Rattus norvegicus: one gene and its partner. The protein of the gene in region 1 purifies or fractionates together with the protein of each later gene. This does not show direct contact. Links are inferred from orthologs where the notes say so. Each region holds a gene or a part of one and is shown on either strand. Other genes may lie near its edges. The genes, in order: Gli2 and Sufu.

What was found.
Region 2: the proteins of Gli2 (region 1) and Sufu purify together in Homo sapiens (affinity purification with mass spectrometry; 3 studies listed by BioGRID and IntAct, with this or other methods). This does not show direct contact. The link is inferred for Rattus norvegicus from reciprocal best matches to the Homo sapiens genes GLI2 and SUFU.

What each region holds. Positions count from the first base shown.
Region 1 is NC_086031.1:32,710,564-32,721,390, forward strand, and holds the start of Gli2 (zinc finger protein GLI2), read right to left. Parts: upstream 5,856-10,827; 5' UTR 5,542-5,855; intron 1-5,541. UniProt on the Homo sapiens protein: Functions as a transcription regulator in the hedgehog (Hh) pathway. Functions as a transcriptional activator. May also function as transcriptional repressor. Requires STK36 for full transcriptional activator activity.
Region 2 is NC_086019.1:255,195,044-255,205,774, reverse strand, and holds the start of Sufu (suppressor of fused homolog), read right to left. Parts: upstream 6,587-10,731; 5' UTR 6,417-6,586; coding exon 6,235-6,416; intron 2,467-6,234; coding exon 2,332-2,466; intron 2,326-2,331; exon of another isoform or gene 1-2,325. Other genes in the region: Actr1a (alpha-centractin), read left to right, coding at 7,930-7,977. UniProt on the Homo sapiens protein: Negative regulator in the hedgehog/smoothened signaling pathway. Down-regulates GLI1-mediated transactivation of target genes. Down-regulates GLI2-mediated transactivation of target genes. Part of a corepressor complex that acts on DNA-bound GLI1.

The DNA of each region.
Region 1 (10,827 bases):
TTTCTGCAAGCTGAGAGGTCAGGACGAATGGGCATGGCCCAGAGAAGCACCCATTCCTTCCCAGCTTTGGGGCCTTGTAAGCTACACCCTGCAGATGTCTAAGGGAAGTTTCAAACGCCACCGAAAGTTTAGCAAACGGATCTCTCTCTCCCTCATCAAAGACTCCGGTTCTCTAAACTTGAGCCTCTGAGGGAGGCATGAGGAAGGAGACCCAGGGGCAGGGAGGTTAAGAACACCGTGTCGGCCCCGGCTCAGGTGGACACTGTGCCCCAGGCGGGCACCACGACCTGGCCCTCTGGCCTTCTTCCTACCCCGCCACGAGCAGGGTCCCGGGCGGCTCTAGCCACCCGCCGCAACAATGTAGCCATTGTTCGCGCTCGCGGAGCCGGCGGGCGCGCAGGTGGGAGGCCGCGGGCGCTCGGGCACGGAATGTTCCCCGGACGGGGCGCGCTCGGCGCCGCCCGGACACGCGGCCTGCGCGGCCCCACGGGGACGACGGAGCCTCGGAGGGGCGGGGCGGGGCGGGGCGGGACGGGATGGGGCGGGGCGGGGGCAGACGGGGGGGGGTGGGGCGGAGGAGGGAGAGACAAAGAGGAGCAGGAGAGGAAAGGAGGGATGGAGAGGGTACGAGAAGGGGGGCGGGGAGAGAAGAAAGTGGAGGCAGGAAGAAAAGGAACGATGGGGAAAAGAAAGCAGACGGGAAGTTATGAAGGGCAGGAGGAAGGGAAGACAAGGTGGTAGAAAGGAGAAAAGGACAGAAGAGATTGGAGGGAGGGAAGGAGAGAGGGTAGAAAAACGAGGAAGAAAGAATAAGTGAGACACACAACAGCCCAGAGGTATGAGAGCCCAGTAAGACTGAGGAAAGAACAAGAGTTCACCCTCATACAGAAAAAGGGCTCCAAGCCCCGCCAAGTCAGCAGCCTTAATCACACCCGGGGCTTTGCATAATTACAGGGTGAAAGCCAGGTCTAGAGGTAGGGAGATACTTAACTGTGTCCCAGGGAAAGCTGAGGGCAGGGACAGGCTGTGAAGGCTGTCTCTCCTCCACCCATGCCAACCCCTCAGAGCCTGGATCCTAGAGGAAAAGGTTGCGGGCTGCAGCAACACTGACCACCACGGGCCTGAAAGCTGCATTTCACGTCCCCTTGGATAGGAATCCAGTCTGTAGTGGGGCCACCCTCTGGAGTGCCCTCCCTGGAGGACTGGGACCCTCTGCACGCAAAGAGGTGATTCAATCCTAGTCCCCTGCTAATGAATTAAAAAGTTCTCTTTATTTCATTTGCTGGTTTTGGGTTCATTAAATTTTCCACAGATTTGCAGAGACAAAAGCAGTCAATAAACGCAGACAAAAGTGGCCGCATCAAAAAGGGCAGAGAATTGGGAAAAGGCAAGATAAAAGTGATATCTGATCCCAGATCCGCAGGCGGCGAAGGAGCAGAGGCTGCAGGGAGAATCTCAACGGGCCATCACCCTCCTCAGCCTGCCTCCCATTAGTACCAACTCCCCATTCAAGACAATAGCCAAAGCACTAAAAGTGGTTTTCCTATGCTAATGTTGAAACCCAGCACTCGGTTAAAACACACTTCCCAGAAACCTGCCTTTTTAAAAATCACACATGTGAAACACACACCAAAAAAAAAAAGAAAGAAAGAAGAAAAAAATCTCCACATTAATTCGTTCTATTTAAACCCAAGTCTTAAAAAAAAGGAAAAAAAAAAAAGAAAAGTAAAGAAACAAATGTAATGGTTACTGCCTGGTCACATCTTAACGGTTATTTCCCAGCATGTGTATGTTAGGTAAAACGCCAGAGGGAAAACCTAAGTAGAAACACGACTTCTTCAGTTGTTGGAAGAATTCGGGACAGTAGGCCTCACCAAAAGAGGTCATCTTCCCATGTTCTGTCACCCTCAAAAATCTAAAAATAGTGACCCAAAGTTTTTCCAAGTCCTTTACGTTTTCCACAAGCCCTCAGATTCGAAAACATGATTAGTACTAAATATGCTGGCGTATTTACCTGAAAGCCACAGAATGGCAGAGAAGGTGGCCTTCTTTAGGGTCCTGTCAGAGGACAGCCAGTGCTACTGACCTCACTCCATACCTGCTATTAGCAAACGAGGCCAAAGTACTCATTCCCTTCCCCCCAGATTCTTTAAAAGTGACAGTAAGCCCAGCACCAAACATCTGGGTAGTCTGGCTGTCGACCCAATCACTGATTCTGCCCCTCCTGATGTTCTAGAATCTGAGAACAGAGTCTTTAGTTGGCCTTCGTGTGTCCACGCCTCTGATGCTTAGTGAATGGAAGAAAGGAGGGAGCTGCTTCCCTGGGGTTCCCTTTCAAAGGGCGCCCCCAGGCCCAGCAGCTGCAGCTGCCCACAGTGAGGTCCACCTGGCCTTGTGGCCCCTGATGTGCCAGTTAACAGGCACTGTACAGGTAGACCTCCCACCGGAGACCCCCAGCTGAAGACACTGGGCAAGCAGCCCCACCCTGTTCCCTGCGGTTTGAGCAGCAAAGGCCAGCTGCACCCACAAGGTTTTAGGACTCTGTTTTTGAGCTTTAACAAGCCAGCTGGGTGTGAGGGGTCACAGCCGCATTCACAGTGCATACAACAACCTCATGGTCTCATTTAAAGGGAACTGCTAGTGTCTGGGCACTGAAGCTTTCGGGGGGGGGGGGGAATGCTGAGGGAAGAAGAGTACTTAGTATAGGCAAATATCCAATGTTGTCTGCCTGCTTGCAGACTGTCCCGGATTCACTAATCCAGCCCCAGGGGCTGCACTGTGTACAGGGCTCTTGTAGAAGTACAAAAAAAGAGTGAAGTATTTGTGTATTTTTCAGGCTGCAGTGCAAACAAGCCAGCTGCAGGACACAGGCCCTGAGACCCCCACAGCAACCAGGAAATGAGCTTGTGTCCAATAACCACACACACACACACACACACACACACACACACACACACACACACACGCCCCTCTTACTATTAAGCAACTCAAAAGCACATCTTCTCTCCCCATGGCTCAGTGCTCAATGCTCTCCCAAGCCTGCAAGGCCAGAGGAACATCTTGAGAAAGTGAAGCTCCTGGCTAACTCCGGACACACTTCAAGGTGGTCCTCCTTCCAGGCCCGACTTGAATTTGGGAGCAGACCTCAGTCAGTCTGAATTCGGTGCATATTCCCACACCATGTCAGCTCAGTTCCCACCCAAGCACAGATGTAGATTTATCAATCCCAGTCCCAATTAGTTCATGGATGAGCCCAGCCCTGGGTAGGAAAAAGATGTTTGCTTTCCCAGACACGGGAGGCGAAGCAAGAGCCGATCTCCTACAGGACTCGCTATTACAAAGAACCTTCTCCTGTGTTACTCTAAGCCCCGCTAGGATCAGGAAAGGTCTCATGGCATTTGGGGGGCGGGCATCCTAAATCTTCCTACATGTAATTAATATTAAAATTCATCAGATGAGCTCTCTGTAGAGCAGGCAACACCTGAGTAGAAACTGTATCCAGAAGAGGCCATTTCTAAATCCTGGAACCCTCTAGAGAGAAGCAGCAAGTTAGAGAAAAGGGAAAACAAGATGTAGAGATGCTAGAAGTGAAACCTTCAGCAGGAGGGGCCTGCTTGGTTTAGACTGGGCGTTCTGGGATTAGGGCCCCAGGATAGAACAGAAGCTGGAAGAAGGCAAAAGCCTCAAAACTCAAAGCAAGCTAGCATCCAGAATGTTTCCTCCTAGTTAGGGAGACCAATCCAGGTAGGAACACAGTGTATTCCCTCCTCCATTCCAGACCGACTGAGCTCTTGAAGGGGCCAGACCCCAAGACACACGGAAGCCTACTCAAAAAGGGAAACCGCAGCCAAGGTGAGGAAATGGGCGGGGAGGGGGGTCGAAGGAGAGGTGGCTAGAACAAACAGATAACATCAGGGAGACTTGTGACAAGCCCGCCTATTCCGCCCGCTACCCCCCCCCCCGTGCTGTATATTTTGGATTTCACAGTTTATTTACTTTTCTTTTCTGGCACCGAGCCCCCGGAGCATGCCAATACAATATTTGTTTAAACACTATTTTATGCCGCTTGCGAGGGAAACGTTTACTTTCAAATTCTCCAACATCCCCCAGAGCCTCGTCTGCAAACAGCATATGAGCGTTTTACAACTGTTCCCTTTATCTGAAGCTGTGGGGATTAAACCTTCACACGCCCAGTGAGGGCGGAGGGGCAAGGGGCCCAGGACATCGGGCCACCGAACAGCAAGATGAAGGATGCCCCAACCGGGGAAGAGAGAGGTACAGAACCCATCCCCTCCCAGCCTCTGAGGGATGAAACTACTGAGAGAAGTCTCTTGAACCCCTGCTCCAACTGGGATCAGCTCTGGGAACCACAGGACAGTTACACAAAAGAGAGAGCCTAGAAGGAGAGGCGCTCTGGGGGATCCCCACAAACTCATTGCGTCTTTGTGGCCAGGTCACTCGAGGTGAAGCGCAAGGGCTCCATCCTTAGCGTCCTCAAGCTCTAAAAGTCAGGTTTCCAAGGAAATGAGAGCAATTGCTGCGGGACTGAAAAGAAGCCCAGTGGGTGGACTTCCAGCTCCCGACGCGGCGGGAGTCCTCTCGAACTCACTCAAGCACACGGTCCCTCCCCCCACCCCCCAATCCCGGAGGAAAAAAAAAAACGTTCCCCTCTCTCTAAACCCTTAATAGGATTGGCGCCCAACTCTGTCCGCGCCGCTCCTCATCCATCACACACAGATCAAGTTGCAGTAGTGGATTTTTCAAATTCCTCAGCAAATATACTTGTTGAGAGATTGCTTGGGGGGTGTTAAGTGGGGGCTAGAATGAAAGCGAGGAGTAGGGGGAACCGATCCCTCGGCGAAGGATTACACGTGGATCCATTCGAGAAGTCAAGGGGATCTGGAGACCTAGGGTAAGAGAGAAAGGTAAGGAAACCAGAACCGAGGTCCAGAGACTGGTGGAGGGGGGAAGGGGCAACAGGGTTCAACGAGGGGGAAAGAAGGAGAGAGGAAGAAAGAAAAGACTGGGCTCAGGGACGCGGACTCACAGCGCGGAGAAGTGGAGTTGCAAGTTTCCAAGTGGCCGGCGGCAGCTGCAGCACACCGCACGGGCGCGCTCCCAACTGCCCATCTAAGGGAGCTTCGGCGCACCCCAGACCCCACGTCGCCCCCAAACAGTTCAGGCTCCGAGCGGTGCCACCGGTCAAAGACCGGCCTACCCGAGCAACCCAAGAAGAAGCACTATCCCTCAAGTGGAGGGCAGCGGTAATAAAATCGACCCCAGACACGAGTTCTGATCCCCAAGATCCTCCTTAAGTCTTGCCGCTGCTGGACCAGAGCAATAATCAGAGTTGCCCTCTCTGACCGACCCCCTAAAATCAGTGTCACGATCTCGATTCCGGCAACACTCCGAAAACCTCACAGCATCTCAGCCGAAGCTGGCCAGGCTAGGAAGTGCTTCGCCACCAAGAGTAAGGGGGGGGGGGAAGAAAGGAAGAAAAGAAAAGAAAAAAAGGGGGTGGGGAAGCCAATGCAACTTTACCGAGGAGACAAAAGTTTGCCTCTAGCACGCAGGTGGCCTCTCGGGCGCCGGGCAGTGGTTGTAGGGCCCCATCCCAACTTGGCTGGAGTGGGGCTGCCGAGTGCCGGGTCTCGGGCCGCCGGGGCTGGGCTGGCCAGGCAGAAGAGGGGACCAAGGCGGGCGGGGGACCCGGCAGTCCCAAAGGACACCAGGCCAGCAGCTCCCGGAGGCTGCGAAGCTACGCACGGCCCGCGCTCCTTCCTCTGGCTCCTCCTCGCCTTCCTCCGCGTCCTCTGTAGCCGCCGCCGCCTCCCGCTCCTCCTCGAAGTCTCATTGATGAGAGGAGTTTGAAAAAAAGTCCGCGGAGCCGTGCTGCCTCGGCTGGCGAACGCCGGCACTCCTGCAATCCATCAGCGTCTCCGGGATGGCGCAGCGCCCCCGCGCGCCGAGCACGGGCACACCCGGATAGTCGCGTCCTTAGCCTGTCCGCCCCCGCCGCGTGCACCCCGCCTCTGAGGATGGGGGCGGGGGGAACACCACCCTGGATGGGGCTAGCGAGAGGGCGAACACAGATTCCCCTCCACTAGAGCTCCAGCAAGGAAAGCACCCCTCCTGGAAAGTTCGAGTTGGGGACCAGAGAACCCTGGGAGTTAGGGACTGGGGGCGAGGATAACGACCCAGACGCCACTCTGGAGGAGAGGAGCTGGAAATATCGCAGATTCTTCCAACCTAGCTCGGAGGAAATAAAGCACTCCTACTGGAAAGTTCCAGCTACGGGAGCACACGCCAGTCTCAAACACTTTTTCTAAGGCGCCGGGGTGGGGGGGTTGCTAACTCAAGTCAGATGAGCTCTGGAGCTCGGGAGCTGCGACTGCTGGTTTCAATATCTGAACTCCCCTTTTCCTCTCAGCCCCCTCAGCCCTCCGCCGGTTGTTCCCAAAACTCCCTGACCCTCCAGCGCCGTAGCAGGAAGAAGACACACGTGGGATGGGAAGCAAGACTGGATTCACGCGGGCCCTCCTCGCCCGTGCAGCTAGTGCAGGTGCCCGGGCGGGGGGGGGGGGGGAACCCAGACGCCCCTTGCCAAGGCTCGCTCTTGCCGCCATCTGAGAGCACGCTGGCGACAAATGACGCCAGCCTTAGGCTTACTGCATATGTTTTGTAGTGAGGGGGTTTTGTTTTATTTTTTTTTTTTTCGGAGACTCCACTGAAGCTGCTTCAGCCAGATGGAAGTAATCAGAACTCAACAGAGGGAGAAGGAAGAATTAGGCTCACTGAAGTTGCAGGCCAAAGTGTAGATGAAGCTGTGCATGAACGCGTTTGCCTAAGTAGCCCTGGTTCTTCCACACAGTCCAGAACCGTGCCCTCCCAAGCCATGGGACTCCACTTCCTCTTGGGCTCTGCTCCTAGAAAGCTGACCATGGGACTTCTTTATATTTCTGCCTGACGTTTGTGGAAACCCTGTGTTCTAGTTACTTTGTATTATTTAACTTGTCACAGGGTCTTCTCCTTCTTTTAAAGGTGGGATGGATGGCTGATGGTTGATGAAGCTGTAAAACTTGACCACGGTAATCTAAGGTTGGTACAGTTAAGTAGGTGTGTGAGGATGTTGGTAGCATCTCTTTCCAGCCCCTCCTGTCTAAAATGCAAGAGAACCGAGACTCCAGACCAATCCTACCCTGCCGAGGACATGGGTCCTTCTCAGCCCATTTTACTCACTGAATCAATCCCTCTTGATGGACGGCAATTATCCTATGGGCTCTTCCCTAACTCTTATTTGTTTCTGTAAGTCAGTATCTCCGTACTTTTTGAAATAGAACCCAAGGCCATCCTCCGAGGTCCACCTCTGAGCCCCTAAGTTTTACATTTAAATTTTTTTCCATGTATTTATTCTATGGGGCAGGGTGTGAGGTCACAGTCCTTTGGCAACAGTCAGAGGGTAGGGCAGAAGGGGGCTGTTTCCCTCCTTCCATCTTGTAACTGCTGAGAATCCAACCCAGGCCCACACAAGCACTGTATTGACCTAGTCACCTTATTGGCCTTGACTTTCACTTTCTAACAGATGGGGAAGTGTTGTGTCCCCGTTCTTCATTTCCTTCCTTCCTTCTCTTTCCCTCAAATGAAAGAAGCAACTATTTTTTTTTCTTTATCTGAGGGAGGGGGAGGCATAAAATACTACAACGATTTGATGCCAACTTTGTTTTCCTCAAAGTAGGCCTCGCAGATTGGAAGCCAAGGAGTGGGGAAGTGGCAGTGTGCTCAAATGTAAAACTTTCTGGAGGGGTATGACGATTCGTAGTGTGCTGTGACAAAACTTTTCCTGGGGAGCCACAGTGCGTGTTTACCTCTCCACACCCCAGCCCCGAGATAGGAACCCACAACAGTTCAAAGTATGGACACCACCAAAGTCTGACTTGGTGAACCAATGAGGTTTTTGCTTGCAGGGTATGGGCAAGGAGCTACTCATAGGAGCGGGAATCACTCAAAGACAGCTGCGTCACCGAAGCCCACCCCAGCATGGTGACAGCTCAGAAAGCTGGGAACCCATGCACAGCCTCCAGACAGCTCAATAGGCCGGAGTGTCCTTTGCAGATGTCTGGTTGGGCTAAACCTCTTCCCGACGGCCAGGCTGGTCTCTGCTTCTCTCAGGCAGCTGGTCTGGTCTTAGAGACTCCTCTGCAGCTCTGTTTCTTCACTTGAGGGAGACTCTCAACTTTTATTATTTACTCTGGCAGGGAGGGGCCTAGTGAATCTGGTAAGTTCCAGGGCCTTCCTGGAGCTATTTTGAGTTGTTTACCTTCCTGTGTAAAGAGCTTCCCTGCAGGATGGACTCTCTTTCAATCTCAGAGGAAGCCTAAGTTAGGCAGCATGTGCCTTTAGTCCTGAGACTTCAGAGGCAGGCAGATCTGAGATGAGAGGCCAGCCTGGTCTACATTGCCAGTTCCAGACCAGCCAGGGACACATAATGAGACCCTGTCTTTAAAAAAAAAAAGAGTAATACTTAAAAGAAAAATTTACAGAAACCAATATGGATAATGTAGGATAAAGGGTCATGGAGATGGGTCAGAGGTCAGGGCACTTGCTATGGATCTACTCTGACCTAATCGGATCCCTAGGACTCACATAAGTGAAAGACAGGACAGACTCCAGCAGATTGTCCTCTGACCTCTACGTACCATCTGTGACATGTGAGCCCCCCCCCAAATACATGTAAACAAAAACCAGAAAAACAAAAAGATACCTGAAACAGGCTTTTCCTTGTAAACCTCAGAATATCAACCCATCACTCCTCCCAGCTGCTTCTCTTCACTTCTGCTGAGCTTTCTGGACATAGATAGCAAAAGTAAGCCCTCTCCCTCCCTTGGCTGCATTTAATGACCCCATTCATATCTGCCCCGTGAAGCCAGGACTCATTTCTCCTGGCTGGAATATTCGCAGAGTCAGCTGATTACTTCATTACCAGCTTGTCTCTCTTGCTTTCTTTGCATTGTAAAGTTTGTGGAGAAATTTAAACAAATCAACGTCCGGAGGGAGAGATTGCTTTCCCTCTGTTTTTCTTCTTGGACCAGTTCAACTCCTGCAGGAATCTAGGCCTTCACCAAACCTTTCTGGCTTATTTTGGCAAGAAAGTCATAGAGGAGATGAGGATGTAATGTTTGGGGTTCGAGGGGAGCTGTGCAAACATCACGTCCTACTGTCCCTCGATGGTCAGAAGTTGGGAGCCTCAGAAAGAGGAAGAGAGGTTTGGAATGCAGAAGAAGCCCTTGTAGACACTGGGACACTGAATGCTCATCCCAGAGTTTATATTCAGTGCAGGGCGCTAGTTAAGTCCAACTTCCTTCAGCAGCTTTCTGTGTAGCCGGCGCTAGTGTCGTGACACCCACCACAGTGAGTAGCACTCACAGCATCCATCCTTCCAACTCATAACCACAAAGTGGGTAAAGACAAAAGACAAGGAACGCACTTTGAGAGAGCATGGGACCTATGGGCAGAGAGGCCTGTCCTGGGGAAGTTAAGTACAGAAAGATGGACAAAGATGACGAAAGTGGGACATGGCTTCTCTAATCCTTCTTGATGATATTAATGCGAATGTTCCCTGTAGTCTCATACATTGGAATGCTTAGTCACCAGTGAGTGGAACTGTTTGGGAAGGATTAGGAGGCGTGGCCTTGTGGGATGAGGTCTGTCACTGGAAGTGAGCTTTGAGGTTTCAAAACCCATCCAACACCCCCCCTGCCCTTCTCTTCCTCCTCCTCTCTTCCCTTCCTCTCCCCACCCCCTGCTCCTGTCATTATGATAATGGACTAACCCTCTAAAATTGTAAGCAAGCCCCTATTAAATGCTTTCCTTTACAATTTGCCTTGGTCATTTTGTCTCCATGTGTAAGTATGTACATATGTGTGTGTGTGTGTGTGTGTGTGTGTGTGTGTGTATGTTAGTATTTACAAAGGCAAGAACACAACACATCAGTGTTGTTCCTCAGAAGACATCCACCTTTACTTTGGGAGGGGTTGTTTATTTTGAGAGGTTATTTTTAGATTTATTTATGCTTACTTTCTGTACATGAGTGTTTTGCCTGCATGTGTGTCTGTGTATCACATGTGTGCAGTGCCTGTGGAGGCCAAAAGAGGGTATTGGATCCTTTGGAGCTAGAGTTACAGATGACTGTAGGCTGCTATGTGAGTGTTCGAAACCTGGTCCTCTGCGCTAGGAACGAATGTTCCAACTGCTGAGCCTTCTCCTCAGGCCCACCTTTGCGTTCTCAATCAGGGTCTCCTACTGGGACCTGGGCTCACCCATTAGGCTGGCCTGGCTGGCCAGCAAGCCCCAGGGAGCCAATCTCTGGCTCCCACAGTTGAGATTACATGTTCTATGTTCTGTGACATTACTAGGTCCAGCTTCTTACCTGGGTGCTGAGGACTGAACTTAAAATCCTCCCGCTTTCCCAATACACTCTGCTGGCTGAGCTATGCTACAGTCTCATGAGACAACTGTCATCGACGTGTTCTGTCATTTACCAAACCGTAGTTAGTTACACTACTAACTAGGGAGCATATCACCAGAACATAATGGCGTAAACACACAACTTTGAAGAAGAAAAGCTACAGTTTGACTCTGCTCCATGGTGTTGGGGACTCAACTAGAAGGCTTCAAGGCTGGCTGGCACCAAGGGATGGAAATGAACTATTCTTAATATAAATATGTACTACCACAGAGGAACTGGAGAGATGGCTCAGCGATTAAGAGTGCAGACTGGTCTTACAGGGAACCTGAGTTAGGTTACCTAGCACCCACACCAGGCAGCTA
Region 2 (10,731 bases), on another chromosome or scaffold:
GCCTGGTTTTGAGTTCCTGTTTGACTTCTCTCAAATCCTGCTTTGGATTCAGGATATATAAGCGGAATAACCCTTTCCTCTCCAAGTGCTTTTGGTCATGGTGTTTCATTACATAGTAACCCTGGCTGAGACAGTGTATGAGGAGGAATGTGCACATTTTACTATGTCATGAGTATGGAGGTCAGAGGGCAACTGTGGAGCTGGTTCTCTCCTTCCCCCTGGGTTCCGGGGAATAAACTCAGGTCATTATCAGGGTTGGAGCAGGTGCCTTTACCTACAAGACCATTGCACTGTCACCGAGTTGTCTGGAGCACTTCCTGCTCTTCCAGAGAAACTGAGGTAGGTTCCCAGCACCCTGATCAGATGGTTCACAACCACCGGAACTCCAGCTCCAGAGGATGTGGGTCAGCCTTGATTACAATGAGTTCTAGGTCAGTGTTAGCCACAGAGTGAGGTCTGTCTCTAAAACCCAATAGAAAAAAGCACACAGCACAGTCTCTTTCCTTCCTCATCTGTTTTCATCATTCTATCTCCACTGTAAATACCGTACAGCAAGGTCCTCACTCAGGCAAGACTAAGTCTATTCCCAAGGTTTCTGCTAACCCATTTGGAAGGCTGTGAAGGCAGACATAGACACTACCTCCCATGTGTGCTAGGGAAGAGAGGCAGCCTGGCCTCTGAACCTAACAAAAGAGAAAAAGCTAGCCTGGGCCTGTGGGTAAAGAGAGTTGGGATGGATGGTCTAAGAGTTCAACCTCTGGACTCAGTCTAATGCAAATTTCAGTCCCTTTATTATCTAGATGTAGGGCTTAAGTAACTCAGTTTCCTCATCGATAAGACAGCAGCAGCAAGAGAACCCAGTGACAAGGGAGACCTCTTACACTATCCTTCTTCTTTCTGGGTGATATACTTGGCTTAGGCCAGTTGAAAAAGTAGCAAGGCTCAGCCAGGTGACGGTGTCACAGGCCTTTAATCCCAGGCAGATCTCTGTGAATTCGAGGCCAGCCTGGTCTACAGAGTAAATTCCAGAAAACAGAGCTCTACACAGAAACACAGAAACAAAAAAGTAGCAAGGCCCCTCTTGTCCTGACTCTGTAAGACTCTGTAGAGGCTGTCTTTGGAGATGGTAACATGTTCATGCAAGTGATCATAACTTTCCTCCCAGTTTGTTGTAGTTCTTCATATCTTCTATGTTGCTGTGTTAAATACTTTCATGTGGTGATTCCAGGCATGTCGTGGTTACATACTAAGGACTTGTCTCAAAAGACCTGAAGACTGTAGACTGCTTTAGCTGAAGACGGAGCTCCACGATACGGCATTCACCTACTGTGCCTGAGGACCTGGGTGTGATCCTGAAGGAGTCTCCCCTATGGAGCCAGACTGTCTACATCTAAACCCTGGCTCTGAATCAACCACCCAGTCAATCAATCAATCAATCTTGGCCCTCACACCACTGAGAAAAGATTTATGTTATAGAGGCTCTTTATGTTTTCTCATTTCTAAGTGGAGTGAATAGTATTACCTAGTAGTTTTACAGTGTTGTGCTGAAATTAAATTCATTAGTGACACAGATGTATAAATGGCTACAAGAGTCCCTGGTGCCTAATCACTGATTTAAAAAATGTTGTTAGCTTTTATAATTAGCCTAATTGTAATTTTGGAGGACTAAATACTAAGTTAATTATATTTCACTTGGTATCAAAATATGTTATGGGAATTAAAACATGTATTAGTTGATTATAAAGAGAAATTAGAGTAAGAAAAAAATTTTAATTTTCTATTATTTTGTGTGTGCAGGTATCTTGGCTGCATGTATGTCTATTGCTTATGTGTCTACTGCCTACAGAGGCCAGAAGAGGACCCTGGATCTGCTGGAACTAGAGTTAAAAGACAGTTGTGAGCTACCCCGTGGGTGCCCTGGGTCCTCTGTATGAGCAGCCATGGCTAAACTATCTCTGTCCCTGAAAGGGGTAGGATTTCAGAAGGCACAGGGCAGAGAATAGCAGCCTGGGGCTAAACACGTGAAGCAGGCAACCCAAGCACCGATGAATGCAAACTTGGCAGCACAGATCTGCAACCCCTGCCACTGGGGAGAGAGGATGGAGAGTTCAAGACCAGCTTAAGCAATTCTACAAGCCGCCCCTCCACCACAAATTCAAGACCAGCTTGGCCTACATAGCCAATTCTGGGCTAGCCAACACAGGCAGAAGGTGGAAACAGAGAGGTGACATGGAAAAGTGTTACTCCCACAGAACCAACATTATCACACATATTCAATGAAACGTCAGAAACAGGCTTAGGGTTAAGGAAAGACAGGTGGCACACACTCACTCGTGGACTCTGTTGTCACCGTAGAGATCACTCAGGCCAAAGCTGATGTAGTGCCAGTGCTCAGGGATGTTGGCAGAAGGACTCCCCATATTCCTGTACATGCTTACATAATCCAAGGGGTCTGGACCACCCAACCTGCAAAAGACAAAACACACGGTGTCACTTCAAACCTGGAAACCAGGAACTATCAAGTAAGAGGCTCTGCTCTACAAACCTGAAAGCCCCGTCCTAGAGGGAGCTATGGTGCAAGATACCTAAAGAGAGGCAAAAATCTCTGTAGAGATGAGCAAGTTCAAGAAGTTCCCTCCCCTTCCCTCCAACAGGCAGGGCCTCTTTTAGAAATAAAACAGACATTAGTGGTTACCCATCTTGCTTTTGCCTGTTTCAAGTTGCGGACTCCAAATGGAGTGAGTCTTCATCTATCTATGTCAACATGCCAGCCTTCAAGGTAAGAGATGCACCCGTCAGTCAGTGGCTTCTGTTGAATGACTGTGCGGAGCATGCCAGTGGACATCGTTCCTGAAAGTACAGCCTCCACTCCACACCCGCTTTTAGACAGATTAGCTCCTGAAAGACTGTACTGCGCCTTCTACTGTTGTTGCTTCTGAGTACACACAAAGCTTCCGGTCTGCACAGATCAAAACTTAGTCACTGCAAACGATGAAGTCCAAACGTCAGCTAGCTCGGCTCTGCACGAGGCCTGTAGTGTGAGCCAGGCTGAGCCCTGTGAGCACCTGCATCCTAAAGAGGGAGCCAGCCAGCACTTGGCTCAAAGGAAGAGCTGGGACATTTCACAGTTTAAGGCTCCTAAGGATGACATTAGATCTCCCCATAAATCCAACAGAGAGGCAGCTGAAGATTTAATTCAGTAAAAGCTCTTTTAGCAGTTAGTGCTTTAAAAAAAAAAAACAAAACCAACAGCAACAAACGAAACCTGCTCTCCCTCAGAATGGACAGGAAAACACAGTAGACTTGGGAAATACCCTAAATGAAACCCCTTAGCAGAAGAAAGTGTGCACTGAGCCCATAAACTCGGCATTCGAGCTGCCTCACGTGGACCACTCCACAGACCACAGAGTGGAGTTTGCCTTTGCCTGCCCCTGGAACATGGACAGGAGTGCACTCTGCAAGTGGGCTAAACTACTGAGGAAAAGCTAACAACCAAATAAAAGACATGGTACAAGAGATCCCAGCAAGTGTGCCAGAACCATGCAATTCAAACCCTATTTTAAAACCAGTAAGTCTGGTTTCATCCTCTTTGCCAGGATGTTACTAGCCTTTGTTGAAATCCTTATTCTTGGGGGAGGAGGGAGGCTAAGTTATTTATAGAAGTCATAAGAAAGAAAGTCACTAAAATAGCTTAGGATCTCGCCTGAGGGAGTTAGGTAGAGGGACAGATCTCTACGTCTTTAACTGTGATTTCACGAAATCATCTGATTAAACCCATAACCAGCTGGGTTTGGAAATGGTTTGGGGATGGATAGAGGAGAGAAAAGGCTGTAGAACCCTAAAAGAGACAGACTCCACACTCTTTCCAACTTCCTGCTACAAATCCCCAACAGCCCTTGACGCAGCCCAGGTCCATGCAGCAACAGGCAGTAGCACTGTGTCTCCTCTCCTTGTTCTGCTTGCAGGCATGCTGTGGCTCCCACAGCCGGTCTCCCAAGAGAGGTCACATCAAGAAGAGGCCACGAACCAAGCAAAGTTAGCCTTATACTTGCACTCAGATGAATGGGGGAAAAATCATATTTTACACTTAGGAAGAGATGCAGTCCAATGGCCCAGAACATCCCTTACCTCAATTCCCTCAACACCTGATTTCTTTCTCTCTATAGGGTAGTTGCAGGATAAGACACAAGGCTCTGCCTCCCTACTTTGATCTTGTCTTGCTTGAAAATCTCAGTCAGAGTATTCCTGGTGGCCAGGGACCACTAGCTAAAATGCTACCCCTCAACCCCCAAAGAAAGCCCATAGCCAGACGCAAGCAGTTTAGTGGGTCATACTGCTGTAAGATACTAAACATAAGGGACAGCAATAAACTTCAGTATCTCAATTCTGCAAATCCCTATGAGTTTTAGAAAGAACCATTACTAAGCTGGTTCCTCTTAGATTCCCGTGTCTAGGTGGCATTTCTTACTTCACAAAGTACTGTACATGTCTTTTCATTTGTCATCACATGCTAGTCTACCTCTGGGGATACAGCCTCACTACAAACTTGTAGAAAAAAAAATAAGTGGTATAATTACCCTTGGTCTTTTGCATAATGGTTTCATACCTCTAATGCACGACTCTGTCTTGATGGCCGTGTAGGTGATATAAAACCAGGCGCCCCATATTCTGCACAGAAACTTTTCCCTCACACTTACACAAGATTAGAGCAAACAGCACGGCAAGGCTAGCCCCATTTTTCTCATGACGTGGGACAAGTTCATCATAACTAATACAGAGGTGCAATTGAAATGGGTGATTAGGTTAGCAAGAGCTGCTTCCTGCTCAGAAGCACTCTTTGAAACTCTCTTCAGCCTGGAAACAGGCTGCCCTGCACAGATGCCTTGCCGGCATGTCTCCTGGCTACCCAGATGAGGCTGGTCCCCAGGTCCTCCCGGCTGTCAGTTTCCTTCCCATCATGTACATAACTGACACAGGGAGTTAGCCTCAGTCCTGTATAGCCTGTCGCCCATCTCCAGAGGCAATCAGAGGTTGTTACATAGGAAAAAGACTCGGCTTTAAAAGCAGTGTAAGCTGTAAAGACATCCACTTCCCCCACTTCAGGTCCAGTTTTTGCCAATTCCCCAAGCCATTGCTCCAGGTATTTTCCGGGATCCACTGAAAGGGGTCATCTAATACAGTGACTGCCTACATGAATGTGGCCATCTCTTAGTCTATTTTTGGTGCAGAAAGACCACGAGGACTTGTCCCATAACACTTGTCTGAATTCAGGCTGACTTGAAGAAACGGGTTGCAAAAAGAATAGGAGATTAGAGAGCACCATTTCTACCCCAAGGACAGCCAGCCCGTTTGGAACCTGATCGTTACTGGGCAACTTTAAACTTCGGCTGAAATCCTGAAGGCAAGGCAGGAAGCGCTTCTTCAAGCTACACTTCATTCCTCCTGCCCACTCAGGTCTCCATCACGCACCTCGTGGCAAGCTACGATCTCCTTCAATCCAGAGCCAAAGCTTGGCCCTCCCGAAACCTGTTCTTAACTAACGACCTAAAGCAAAAGCAGCTGCAAAGTCAGAAGCAAGCTCTGCAGGGAGAAAGAGAAGTGTGCAGAGTAAGCAAAAAGTTTATCTGGAAGAGCGGCTCTGTCAAACTTCAAGAGCAACAGCTTCGCACTGAATGACAGAAGCTCCAGCGTTCGTTCGGGAACCTCCCGGAAAAAAAGAAAGCTGTCTCCTCAACTCTTCACGCATCAAAGGCACAATGCCCTCACATCTTACTCCCTCCTAACCCACAGGGGCGTCCTGGTCCCCGGACCGCCCTAGACTACGCGATCTCGTACCCTCCAAAGCCCTCTCAAATGCTCTCCAGGCCCCGCCTTACCTCCCCCCCATTCCACTCCAGCCGCCCCCTGGCTCCCCCAAGCCCACTAATGACCCACCACAGGCGCCCCCTCCTTTCTCCACGTTTACAGTTCGCTCTCACACGTCCCCCCTCAGTTCCTGTATACACCCCTAGTTCTCAGTTCTCCTAATCCCGGTTAACCCCTCACTACTCAAGGGATCCATTAACCCTTTGTCCCCATTCCCAACTTCTGTCCTAACTCCTTCCACAGCATCAGGAAGCTCCTGGTTCCTAAGTACTTGGACCGTTTTCTTCCTCCCACTTCTGCAAATTACTTCGTCCCCAGTGCTCGAAGCTTTCCCGGCCAGCCCCGGTCCTCCCGAGGCCCAGAGCATACCAGTACTTGACGATAGCGGTAACCTGGAGCGGGTTCGGCTGGTCAGGGTAGAGGCGGCGGCACTCTCCGTAGATGGCGTGGAGTCCCGGGGGAAAGAGTGAAGCAAAGGCCGGGGGGGCACTAGGGCCAGAGGCCGGGGGCGCGGCGGGGCCGGGGGCGACGCTAGGCCTCAGCTCCGCCATTGGGGCGCGTAGGGCGCGCGGGGAACCCGGGAGGGTAGAGGAGGGAAAGCGCCCCTATGGGCCAGCGGACCCACTGTGGATGAAGAGTCCCCGAGGCGATGGGGGCTACGGCGAGGTCTAACTCCGCGCCTGCGCACGAGGCTCCGTCCGCCCAAGTCGGAGCCTTCAAGACGTCGGCCAGAGGATGCTGTGGGACCGCGGGGAGCTCCAGAGGGTGGGGCGTCGGCGTGCCCTTGCCTGGCACCCATTGGCTAGTGTCTTTGCCAGTCACAAGTGGGAAAGGCGTGACTTGACAATAGACTCCGCCTCCCTGCCCCTGTGTTGGGAGTGTCCCAAGGATCTTGGCCTCCCCCTAGTGTTAGGAGGAACCCAGTTTAAAACCGAGGCGCCGTACCTTGAGGTGCTAGGGTCCTATGAAAGCTCTAAGAAACGCCCGAGAAGCGCTTAACATGGTGCTAACACACGATTTTAAGATAAGCTTGACAAATGATTAAATCATCAGACTGTGTCATTATTATTAATATATTACAAGTCTAATTATTTCTTGGAACTATTGATAAAAAGAGTAACACGAAAAGTGCCTGGGGAAAATTCCTAGCTGAAAAGCATTTACCTACTCTTTCTCTTCACCTGGATATTATCATCCATCAAGGTCAAGCTCAAGAAAGATGATAAAAGTTTCTAAACCTGGGGTTGAGGATTTAGCTCAGTGGTAGAGCGCTTGCCTAGCAAGCTGCAAGTTTCTAAACCTCTTTAGACCAGTAGTTCCGTGGCATCCAACTTACAGGTAATTTTTGATAACCTCCATTGGCTTTTGCTTCACGGTTTTGTCTTGTTTTGCTTTTCGTTTTACTTTTTGTTGTTTTTCGAGACAGGTTTGTTTTCTCTGTATAGCCCCTCACTGTTCTGGAACTCACTCTATAAACCAGGCTAGCCTCGAACTCAGATCTTGCTACCTTTGCCCCAAGTGGTGAGATTAAAGGCATGCAGCACCACCCCCGGTGCTGCTGGGCTCTTGTAAGTGCCGGGCAAGCATTCTACCACTGACATTCCAGTTCCACAGATGTTTGTAATGGTTTATATTGCCCAAGTGAAGGAATGGCTGAAAGGTAGAAATAATCTGTAAAATTCAACCGCCCCTGAACTACTGACAAATCCAATCCCAACTATTCACAAGTACTTCAGACTCCAAAAGAGTGTATTGGAAACCCCTTGGAAGGGGCCTCAAATCCAGTCATGCAACATTAATCATCAACATTGTGGCTCTTTAATCTACAGACACTACAAACCCCATGGCACCATATGTCGGAAATACACTGTCCAATCTCCTAAACCCGATCTGGATGGGACTCGGTTTGGAGCAAAGAATGCTGGGGATTGTAGTTCTTCGGAGGCGAGGTCGGGCCGCTCCCTGGACGCCCAGTACCGGCGACTAGACTGCGCATGCGTGTCAGTGGCGTTTGCTGCGGACCGGGCTGGCAGTTCCTTCCTCGGAGGGAAAGATTCCTCTGCCATGGAGTCCTACGATGTGATCGCCAACCAGCCTGTTGTGATCGACAATGTGAGTAGCATCTTTCCTATCTTTGAAGGGACTGTGTTCTCCTCCAGGAAGGATTGTTTCCGAGGTTTCAGCCTAGGCCGCCAGCTCTTTGTCACTGGCCCGGCCTGTCAGGCGGGTTCAGCTGCCGCCGCCCGGGTCCTCCTCACATCCATAGTTTGAAGGCAGGGTGGCCAGCCAACACCCATGTGATGGAGAATTTGAAGGTAGACAAAGGGAAGAGCTGTAGTCCAAGAAGGGTCCTTGGACCCTCGGTTTAAGGGGCCTTAACCGTTCTCCTAGAGCTTAGCATCCGCCTTCGCTCTGGATTTCCATCACCCAATTGGCTGCTCTTGCTGTCTATCTTCTCCTATTGGTCCCGCCCTTGGGCCTTGCCCGATTAGAACAGCACTCTGCAGTTATTGGCTCCGGCGCTTGTCGCTCTTCCGGCCGCCAAGGTGTTTCCCTTCTGTAAGGGGCGGTGCCGTGCACTATAACTGTAGGGATTGGCTCAGCAATTCAGGGTGCGGAAGGCGATGGCTGGTCCACCGGCTAAGGAGTACAGTTTCCTTGGGTGTGAGCTGGAGGGGCGATTTAGTAAACTGTATCTGGGTGGGGCCGGATAATCCGGTACCATAAATGGCCATAGGATTTCAGTTATTTTTGTGATTATAAATTATAGTTAGTAAAGGTAAAAAAGAAAGGGGAGTGACAAAGGCAAGGTGCTCTCCTGTTTACAGTGCCCACTTGAGAGACAGGGAGATTTTTCAGACACAGTGGTTGTCAAGTACGCTAGCGTTTCCAGGGCGCTTTTCACCGATATGCAAGTTGAAACTTCCCAAAAAGTGAATGGCTAAGGAGAAAGTTTGCACCTCTTCTCACCGACAGAACAAACACCGAAGGTGGAAGTGATCAAGGTCATACAGCTGTGGTGCCCCATAACTTCATTGCCTTATCTAAATAGCATTCCTTTGCTAAGCACCGTTCCACAAATGCTTCGATAAGGACAAATAGAAAGAACCTAAGTGTTCCATTTATGAGGAGGAGCGATTGTCTTCAGTTTCTGTATTTCACTCAAAGGTTTGGTCCCTCCCATTCTGGTTGGAATCTTCCTATTCACTTTCCAGGTCCCTCCATTGAGACAAACTACCACTTCCCTCTGTCCGAGGCTGACCTTTTCAGAGTAACTGTGATGCTGGGAACGTGGACATACCACTAGGTTCTTTTCTTTGTATTGTAGGTGGATAGAGATTGCTTTCTCTAGTTTATGCAGGAACAGGAGGCTTGGAGAGATTTTTTTAAACTACTCACTTTAGGAGTTGAGGATCCAAATCTCACACTGAAATCTGGTTCCAAGTTCTTCAGTCCTTCCAGGAAGGCTACTGTATTTGTTATGAACTGCCTTTTTAAAGGGGGAGGCTGAGGCTGGGGGTGTAGCCCAGATGCTAGAGCTTGTCTGACATTCATGAAATCCTGGGCTCCATCCGCAGCACAGCATAAACCTAGTGTATAAGCAGGTGTGGTGGTCCATGTCTGTAATCCCAGGACTAGAGAGGTAGAGACAGGAAAATGAGAAATGCAAGGTCATTGTTTGAAGCCGGCCTCTAAGGTGTGACATTGTTGGGAGCAGGGAATGGGAGCAAGGTTAGTTAAATAAGACCCATTATTTTGGGGGTTTGTTTTTGGTTTTGTCTCCCTCAATAGCCTCAGTAGACTTTTTAACCCTTGTGGATAAGAGGGTGAGATCCTTCTTTTTTTATTAATCCCTCTACCCACTCTACACAGCCCAAGGCCCCTTATGCTCTCTCTCTCTCTCTCTCTCTCTCTCTCTCTCTCTCCCTCTCTCCCCCTCTCCCCCTCTCCCTCTCCCTCTCTCTCTCTCTCTCTCTCTCTCTCTCTCTCTCTCTCTCTCTCTCTCGTTTGTGTGTGTTCGTGCCTTTAGAGGCCAGAAGAGGTCATTAATTCCTCTTCATAGAGCTGCAGGCAGTTATGAGCTATCCAACATGGTTGCAGTGCAGAAGGGATCCAACTCTGGTCCTCCCAAAGGGCTGTAGCTAGTGCTCTGAACTAATGGGCCAACTCCCCAGCCCTCGACTGTTCGATTTACACCCAACTCTACACAGTACCTAGGGCCTGGTAGCACTGTGTACAAAATGAGGCCTTCTTATTGGCTAAGTGGTAAATAGACAACTAATGATTGCTGTCATGTCAACAAAGATGTCCAGTGTTCGGTACGGAGGTGGGGGTGGGGGGAAACCCGGTCAGGATGAGGGGTTTCAGCTAATGTAATGCTGTAAATGATGAATAACACTTCTTTCTTTCGTTTGTTTGAGACGGGGTCTTTGTGAATTCTTGTTTTCAATGTTAATATCTAGACAAAACCAACTAAGTCTTTTTTTCTTGTTTTTTTTTTTTTTCTTTTTTCCGGGGCTGGGGACCGAACCCAGGACCTTGCGCTTCCTAGGCAAGCGCTCTACCACTGAGCCAAATCCCCAACCCCCCAACTAAGTCTTTAGCCAGTTCCTGTGTGTTAGGTCTCCTTTTTCTTAGTTGTTGAAAGAAAAAAAATGCATAGAAATGATCTACCTCAGACTGGAGAGATGGCTCAGCAGTTAAGAGTGATTGGTGCTCTTCCAGAGGTCCAAAGCTTGATGCCTAGCACCCACATAGGCAGGTTACAACCTGTCACTGAAGCTCCAGATGGGCAGGAATTCTCTTTGGTCTGAGAGCTGTTTTACTCATATAGACAGACCCACACACAGGACGTTCACACACACA